Mus musculus: one gene and its partner. The protein of the gene in region 1 interacts with the protein of each later gene in a pairwise test. Links are inferred from orthologs where the notes say so. Each region holds a gene or a part of one and is shown in the gene's direction. Other genes may lie near its edges.

Region 1 (4,327 bases):
GAAGTGGCTAGAGAAGTGGCTCAGTAGTTAAAAGGACTTGTTGCTCTTGCAGAGCATGGGGGTTCTGTTCCCAGCATTCACATTGCATACAACTGTTTATAATTCTAATGCCAGGAACCCTCTTCACAGCCTTCACAGCAGCAGACATGCACACTGTGTGTGTGTGGTTGTGTGTGTGTGTGTGTGTGTGTGTGTGTGTGTGTGTGCAAGCAAACATTCATACGCAAAAATAAAAATAAACTTCAAAAAAGAGAAGAAAAGGGGTTGGAGAGATGGCTCAGTGGTTAAGAACACCGACTGCTCTTCCAGAGGTCCCGAGTTCAAGTCCCAGCAACCACATGGTGGCTTGCAACCATCTGTAATTGGATCTGATGCCCTCTTCTGGTGTGTCTGAAGAGAGCAACGGTGTACTCACATAAAAGAGAAGAAAAAAGAGAATCAAAGGTGTAAATTGAAAGAGGATTGCATCCCATGTGGTCTTTTCTGGACCACTAAATGCCCCATAAGCCTTTCTGTCCAGTTTCTGACTTACTCAGTTAATGACAAAGAATCCTAATTAGCATTAACTGTCTACTTGACATGACCTAGAGTCAGCTGAGAGCAAAGCCTAGGTCTGATTAACCTGTGGACTTGTCCGTGGGGACTGCCTCAAGTATTAATTGATGCAGGAGGCAGTAAAGGAGAGAGGCTGGACTACAGCCTGGCTACTGACTTACAGAAAGCCTATGGTGACCGCAGCATCCCTCTGCAGGTGGTCCTGAGTCTTATAAGCATGCTCGCTAAGCATGAACCTGGGAGCACGAGAGTCAGAGCACGAGAGTGAGCCAGCAGGACACATTGATTCACGCTCCTGTTTGGGTTCCCGCCTTTGCCTCTGTCAGCAATGGAACAGAACCTGGAAGCCTAAGATGGAATAGAGCTCTCCTTCCCCAAGTTGCTTCTGAGCACAGTGTTTTCCACAGCACCAGAGTGGTACTAGATCAGAAGCTGAGAATCCGGATCATTCTCGCAAGTTATTTCCCCAGGCATACAACTTATACTTATACCTTAGTCTAGGCCATAATTTAGCCACCATGAGAATAGGCTGCTTGCTGGCAAATGGCAGAGAGATCTAGAGAAGAGCCTTCTTGTGTCTCTGAAGTTACAACTGTGCCTGCCTCTGCTACACATTCACTTCAAGGCCTGCCTGGGCCACATGAGATGCTCTTTCAGAAAGGAAAAGCAGTCTCAAACTACCCCTGACCCCTACTGCCCTGTGTCTCCTCCATCTTAATGTGTGTGTGGACCACTCTGGAAAACACTGCCAGCCTCACTAACTAAGCCACCATTAGCACATCCACACGACGAGGCTTCTTTTCTTCCAGGGCCGCCCGGCTGAACTGCAGGACAGGTGACCCCGCCTCCGGGCTGTCCCCACCCCTGCTTCTTCCAGGCCCCACCCCTAGCTCTGAGGGAGGCAGGTCCTGTCCTGGCAGCTAACCTGCCAGAGCACCGCAGCCAGGCACCCTAAGAAGTGGAGCTGCAAAGCAACTGGATCAGGCTCAGTCATGGACCGGAAGGTGGCCCGAGAATTCCGACACAAGGTCAGAACTGAGAGGGACAGACAGTGAGGGGGCCACATTGGTTCTTCAAAGTCCTCCAAGACCTAATGTGTTTTCCAGATTACAGGGTCTGTGGAGGCCACAGAAGGTCACTGAAGGACAGGGGACCCAGTGGTGGCCTCCTAGCAGGTCCCAGATGGGGGTAAAGCCATGTCAACAGCTCATCACAGGTCCTGCGCAAGGAAGGGAGCTGTATACACACCCTGCCGCTTGATACCAAGCCCTTTCAGTCTGAAGGGTCTGAGTGCCTAAAGCTCACTCTGGGTGTCCCCTCTCCTCCCTTCCACACAGAGACCCAGAGATGCCCGGAAGCCAGTCACTGTGGAACCACAGAGGCTACAGGGCCAAGAGCTCTGGCCCAACGTCAGGGGTCAGCCAATCACTCATTTAAACGTGTCCTGAGCACTTAGCCATTCCGTGTCAGATCCCGTCTGCACCCTACCATGGCTTGCCCAGTGTGGATGGGAGGCAGGCCTTGGGCACAGAGGTTCGGTAGGGGCCGCAGGGGTGAGAGCTTCCTAAGCACGCGCCGAGATGCTCCTGCCCCCACTCCCAGTCGTGAGAAGTGGCAGAAAATTCAGCAGGGAAGGGGGGGGGCACCTGTTGAATTGTCAAGGGGACCATTTGTGTTCGGTGATGTGCCTTGAGCCCAGAGATGTGTGTGTTTCAGGGTCAGGGCAGGGAGGGGGGGAGACAGCTCAGCTGCAGTTAACATTTGCTGAGTGTCGATTTCAGTCAACCCACTTTAAAGGCTCCTGGCTCCTGTCTGAGCTTAAATTTCTCTTTCCTGGCCTCAGGCTGGGAGTAACGTAAAGTCGGCTTCTCTTTCAATTTCTTGCAGTGGAGTTACCTACACATTATCTCTTTGGAGAGGATCACCCCCAGGGTCCCTGATGCCTGACTTGACTGTACATTCACCTCTATTCTTCCTCTCCCGGTTCTAGAGGGCCTCAGGTCTCTGCATTTCCGTGTCCGGGCTCCTCCTCAGAGTCATTATCTATTAATGTTCTCATGTCACAGCCAGGGCAGGCATCCTAGCGAGCAAGGCCTGGGCTGGACTTTGTGCCCTGTAGTCTCAGACATAGCAACAGCCTTCCTCTCTCGTGCTGCGGATCATCCAGGCACTGAGAGGAAAGGTGAGGTTGAGAGACAGGCGAGCTGGGTGAGATTTACAGCTTTCCAAAGACCCCCTTCCTGAGTGTTTTGGGGAAATTCTCTCCTAAGCAGAAGTTTACAGTCTAACTCTTTAGTTGCTAGAGGTACTGTTTAAGGTAATGTGTTGTCATGGCTGACACTGGGTGACCTCCCTGTGACTCAGGTCCCAAATTTGTGAATTGAGCATACTGTTTAATAACATTATCATGAAGGCTGAATAAGGGGTGTGTGTGTGTGTGTGTGTCCGAGTGTGTGTTATGTAAATTGAACTCTTGGAGAGTCCCAACACTGAGGGTCAACTCTCATCTCTGCCACTCACTGACCTTGAGCGAGCCACTGGATCTCTGAGCTTTTGTTTCCTTCGTTGTGAGGGGGTTGTGCTGTGCTGTGTGTGTGTGTATGTGAGAGACAGGATTAGGTAGGAATTGAGTGTGGATGCTCGGATCCCCAGCCAAAGTCTGTGTGTGTTACTGTAAATGTTCGCTCCAGTTCTTGGTCTGTTCTGGTCCAAAAGCAGTCAACGGCACCTAAAACACTAACTTTCCTTCCCAGATGGAGGGAACGGCCTTGGGATGGAAAGGGCCGGGCCAGGATGACCAGGGACTAAGGTCTCTCCCTGGAGCTGTGTGGAGCATCAGCTTTTCAAAGCAGCCTCTTTGTTCCCAGCTGCCATGCTGAAACCTGGTTATTCATTTGCTCAGAAAACATTTATTGCCTCTCCAGCAATCACACATTTATGAGTAGCTCTGGCGTACCCTGCCCCTGGCCAGTCAATCAGGGAGGGGTGGGGTGAATAAGAGCAGAGGAGTCCCTCCCTCCTAGGATTTGCTATTCGTTCGTTTGTTTGTTTGTTCGTGCGTGTGCGTGTGCGTGTGCGCGTGCGCGTGTGCGTGTGCGTGTGTGTGTGTGCGCGTGTGCGTGTATGCGCGTGCGTGTGCGCGTGCGTGTGCGCGTGCGCGTGCGTGTGCGTGTGTGTGTGTGTGTGTGTGTGTGTGTGTGTGTGTGATAAACACTCTCTGACCTCTTAATCTATACCAGGCAGAGTTTTGGCACCAAGACCAGCCAATCATCGGGAGCATGCCCTGTTGGGGAAGACAGTTACCAAGGAAACCAACAGTATCTGATGATTGGGTGAGGGGCTGAATGCTGGGAGAACAGTAACCCTGAGAGGGGAGAGACCAGCAGGTGGTATGCTATGTCGCCAGGAAGGCCTCTCTAAAGAGGTGACATTTGAACCTAGAAAAAGAGGAAGGTGTCACAGGGCGGATGAGTAGCAGAGAGAATGGCAGAAGCAGAGAGGGAAGCACCTGCCTGCAGTGCGTTAGAATCGCAGGCAGGGCTCTGGGAGGCAATGCAGAGAGGAGAGCGGCGGGTGGGAGTAAGTGGGAGAGGTGTGGACAGTAGTGACTTGGGGTTTTCTTCAGAGTTCAGAGGACTCAGCTAAGGGAGAATGGTTTACGTTTGAATAGGATTGGTCCTGTGGTTCCTGGAGTGGAAAGAGGACTTGACTCTGGATTTGGGATAACTGTCTTCCCTATTAATTGAGGCTGGGAGTGGAGCTGTTAGGCTAT
Region 2 (4,440 bases), on another chromosome or scaffold:
ACGTTGACAGCCAACAGCACCGACAGCAGGCGGCCGCCCTTTTTCCACACCTCACGGGGGCTGGCCCGAGGCCCCGGCAGGCTCTCATTGGGATGCGGGACCAGTTCCTCCGACATGGTGGGGGCGACTGGAGGAGGTTGAAGGGATCACTGCGAGGTCCGAAGTCGGGGCGGGGGGGGGGCAAGGACAGGATTCTAAGTCAACTCAGGGGGCTCTCCTTTCCTCCCATGTGATCCCTGGATTTGGGGACCCCGGAATGTGGGGACTAAGGGTGCTGGACCAAGCACTGGGGAAAACGAGAAAATCTGAAAGCTGTACCTTCCCTACCTGGCCTGGAAATATTGTACAGAGAGAAGAAGAAGCGGCCCTAGGCTGAATCCTTTACAAAGTCCCACTCCCCAAATCTGACAGTCCCCTGGCCAGGGACACGCACCTGGCTGCACCGGGAGCCGACACCAAGTTGGGGGTCAAGGGGCAGCAAGCGTCTCCTCTCTCCCACGCCGGGCTGGACCGGTGCTTTATACCGGAGAGGGCAGAGTGATTTACAGCCACAAGAGTTCGGCTCCATAAACCTCTCAGTCCCACTCACATGATCCATCTTTTCTCCGAGCTGAATTTAGGGAAGCCAGATAAGGTGAGATTTATATTTACCTGTTAAGATTCCCTTACCCTGTCGCGCTGGTGCTGCCAGGGTTCGGGCACGGCCCCATATTGCCGTACACAGAGGGTCCTCTGCCCCCCAGCGCCCACTGTAACCTGGTGCTCAGAGATCACACCCACCCAAAGACTGCAGAGCTGACCCCCACCCCCGTTGCCCGCTTGCACCTAGACTCCGTCGCAGCTCAGGAACTGGACGGAATTTTGGATCTTGCTTGCTGTCCCGAGATCGGGACAACAGTTCCTCTTTTCCCACCTGCCCTCAGAGTGATCCGAATTCGGTCTTCCTGTATCCCTACTACTGCTGCCCAGAGATGCTGGTTGGATGCTGCAAAGTCTGGTTCCCACGCGGTGCCCTCAATCGGGCTGCAGTCGTCTAGCGCCCCCTGCTGGAGAACTGTTGTTTGACACCCCCCCCCCCCCCACGAGTGTAGGCTGACCGCAGGACTGCTGCGCCCTGCTTGCGGATGAAGGTCTTGCGGTGGGTCCTCCTGCTCCTCTGGACCCACTGTCCTCCAGATCAGAATTGCCTCTCCATCCCACCCTCACACATTATTCGTCAGCTTTTCACCTGTCCTTTTGACTGGTGAAGAAATCAGGGAACCCAGCACCCGGAGTTCTGTCTAGGCCGTATTAAATGTCCCTATATTGGGCTTCAAGGGCTGCAACGCCAGAGTGGGCGCTTTTGGAGCGAGAGAACTGAATTTCACTTGAGTCACGTCTGTGTGCTGAAGAGCATGGCGTTTAGGACCCAGGGGAAGCTCCTGGGCGGCTCCCTGGGCAGTGAGAGATTTCCCCCCTCCCTTCCCCGGTGTGCAGCTCAGATGTCCCGGTAGTCTGTAGTCGTCTGTAGTCGCGGCTCTGGCGCTCCGCATCCACCATCTGCGGCAGCAGGGGCAGGCGGCCCAGGCCCCAGCCCAGCCCCTTCCCTCAACCTCATGCCTCAGCCCTAACCCGGCAGTCCTCCCCGTCCGGGGACAATTCTCGGTGCCCCTTGCCCGTCCCGTCCAACTTGGGCGCCATGAATGACCAGTATCACCGGGCCGCCAGGGATGGCTATCTGGAACTCCTCAAGGAGGCCACCCGGAAGGAGCTGAATGCCCCTGACGAGGATGGCATGACCCCGACTCTCTGGGCTGCCTACCATGGCAACCTGGAGTCTCTGCGCCTCATTGTGAGCCGCGGGTGAGTATGCCCTCTGCCTAGCCAGGAAAACCAGGAAGAACTTCCTGGAACCCGGTGTCCCAAACCTCATGGCATCACTTACCCTCTTGCCTGAGCTGCCCTTTCCCCCTACGGACAGACCCTAAGGTGGGGCCGTGCAGCCTGCTGTACTTAGAGAGACACAGGTGGAAGGGACATAAACTGAGCTTGTGACAGTTGTGGACTGGATGCAGGGATTAGAGGAGAGGAACTTCGATTTGGGGATCGGACCCATGATTATGGGATGGGGGCTGCAGAGGTATTCAAAAATCAGACACTTTGGGGGGGGGAGGGTGCCTGGAAGCAAGAGTGAAAGGTAGGTGGGAACCAGAGAGAAGGCTGGGAAATCTCCAGGGGCCTTGAACTGGGGAGGCCAGGAAGGAAAGACCTTCGCTGCCTACTTCCCAGTCTAGCAGCCAGAAAGGCTGTCCCTACAACTCCGCTAGCTCCCACGGACCGGGCTTCACCCTGACCTGTGCCTTCCTATCACTCTTCTGGGGTTTACAGGCACTGTCCACACTACCAAATGTCACTGGTTCCGCCACTGATTAACTCTCTGTATCCCTCCCCCTCTGCAGGACTCAGGAGTGGGGAACTGTAGTGTGTAGAAAGGACATCTGCCCTCCACCCCATCCTCTCTCTGGCGTTGTCCTGGGAGGGAGGGTGGGCACAGAGTCCAGGGGTCTGGAGGAGGAGTCAGGCAACGTAGATTCAGGGTCACTAAAGTGGTTTGGGGTGGGGGAAGGGGACTAAATCACATTACTGGAAATATCCTACCCACCAACAGTTTAGTAGGACTGGTGTGGCCTAGACAGGAAAAGGATGTCTCAAGAGGTCTCATGTGAACGTCTCAGGCTCTATCTAGGGGTCAAGGTCAGAGGCAGGGATTGTGCTGATCATGGAATTGGAGGGGACCCTGGATATGTAGGGACATGGTCCCCTCTTCTTCTGTGTCTGCTCCTTCGGTCTAGCAGCATGTGGGGACAGTGTGGAATGGTACAGCTGAGACAGAGCCCTACTCCAGGAGGGCAAACACTGCTACTATATCCCCTGCCCCTTCCATCATAGAGGCTCATGGGAGTCTCGTGCAGGAGCAAGGAGGGAGGTATGGAAGGAAAGAGAGCTGTCCAAAGCTCTGAGGTTCTAGAGACTTGGTAATCAGAGGGGGAAGCTGCGGGGAGGGGCGGTGTTGAGATAAGGGAGTGATTCTTCCCCCAGACCTGAGCTGGCCTTGTGGCCTCATTGGTGTGGGGCAGGGCCCCGTGCTAAACCCCGAGAGAGGCAAGATTCCCACGGAAGCCAGCAGAGTTGGGTGGGCTGGAGTCAGATGTGGAGGGCATTAGAGAGGGAGGGGGCAAAGCTCCGTAGGGCAGCCTGAACTAGGGAGAGCAGCGTGGCCAGGTCGCCGCCCTCTTCCTCTCTAGTTCTGGCTGTCCCCACAGTCCCCTTCTGGCTCAGGCCAAGACCCGACACCTGCTCTAACACTGGCATTGCCAGGCCTGGCCCCGCTCCCTGCAGACATGGCGGTGCCCACTGTGTACCAGCGCGCACCCTCTCACGTTCTCCCAGGCTTAAGCCTAACGTACACACACACACACCACCCTCTAGTTCTCTGACACAGTCACCCTGTAACATGTGGCTTCACAGGCCACCGCACCTGCCTAGAGACCCAGACTCAGGCCTGGCCCACCACCACTCTGGGCCAGCTCCCCGCAGGGCCCATGAATAATTCACTCCTTTCTCTCAGCGCATCAAATATTTATCCCCTGAGATTCCCAGCCTCAGTTCTCTAGGGGAAGGCCCGCCCCACCCCGCCTCCTAGGTAGCCCCGCCCCTTTGTGGGTTAGCTCTCTCAGTCTTTCTGTCTCTCTGTCTCTCTGTCTCTCTGTCTCTCTCTCTCTCTCTCTCTCTCTCTCTCTCTCTCTCTCTCTCTCTCTCTCTCACACACACACACACACACAGAGTTTTTGGTAATCCTGAAGCATCTGTTGACTCAAGCCTGCTGGTCTGGAAATCTAGGTCTCAGCCCCATGGGTTTATTTTAGGGTAGTGGTTTTCAATCTTCCTAACGCTACGACCCTTTAAATGCTAAGACTCTTTAATACAGTTTCCCCATGTTGATCACCAACCATAAAATTATTTTGTTGTTACTTCATAACTAATTTTGCTACTGTTATGAATCATAATGTAAAATATGAGATACAGGGTCATGATCCATAGGTTAAGAACTTCCGCTTTAGTGGCTGCTACATTCCAGGTCCAGGGGTTTGCCTTCTTTTCCTTCTTCTCCTCCTTCTCCTTCTTCTCCTTCTCTTTCTCCTTCTCCTCCTTCTCCTTCTCCTTCCCCTTCTTCATCTCCTCCTCCTTCTCCTCCTTCTCCCCCTCCCCCTCCCCTCCACAATATTCCAATTAGACCCCAGGTCTGGCTTGCTAAAGGGACTCATCCTACCTTTCCATCTGCTGTCCCTACAGGGGTGACCCGGATAAGTGTGACATCTGGGGAAACACACCCTTGCATCTGGCAGCTTCCAATGGTCACCTGCACTGCCTGTCCTTCCTCGTCTCCTTCGGGGCCAACAT

The links.
Region 2: the proteins of Ush1c (region 1) and Ush1g interact in binary tests that used the Homo sapiens proteins (3 or more experiments, as listed by UniProt). The link is inferred for Mus musculus from reciprocal best matches to the Homo sapiens genes USH1C and USH1G.

The regions. Positions count from the first base shown.
Region 1 is NC_000073.6:46,235,685-46,240,011, reverse strand, and holds the start of Ush1c (harmonin), read left to right. Parts: upstream 1-1,521; 5' UTR 1,522-1,547; coding exon 1,548-1,583; intron 1,584-2,677; exon of another isoform or gene 2,678-2,737; intron 2,738-4,327. UniProt on the Homo sapiens protein: Anchoring/scaffolding protein that is a part of the functional network formed by USH1C, USH1G, CDH23 and MYO7A that mediates mechanotransduction in cochlear hair cells. Required for normal development and maintenance of cochlear hair cell bundles.
Region 2 is NC_000077.6:115,319,095-115,323,534, reverse strand, and holds the start of Ush1g (Usher syndrome type-1G protein homolog), read left to right. Parts: upstream 1-1,616; 5' UTR 1,617-1,678; coding exon 1,679-1,842; intron 1,843-4,332; coding exon 4,333-4,440. Other genes in the region: proton channel OTOP2, read right to left, coding at 1-116. UniProt on the Homo sapiens protein: Plays a role in pre-mRNA splicing by regulating the release and transfer of U4/U6.U5 tri-small nuclear ribonucleoprotein (tri-snRNP) complexes from their assembly site in Cajal bodies to nuclear speckles, thereby contributing to the assembly of the pre-catalytic spliceosome on target pre-mRNAs.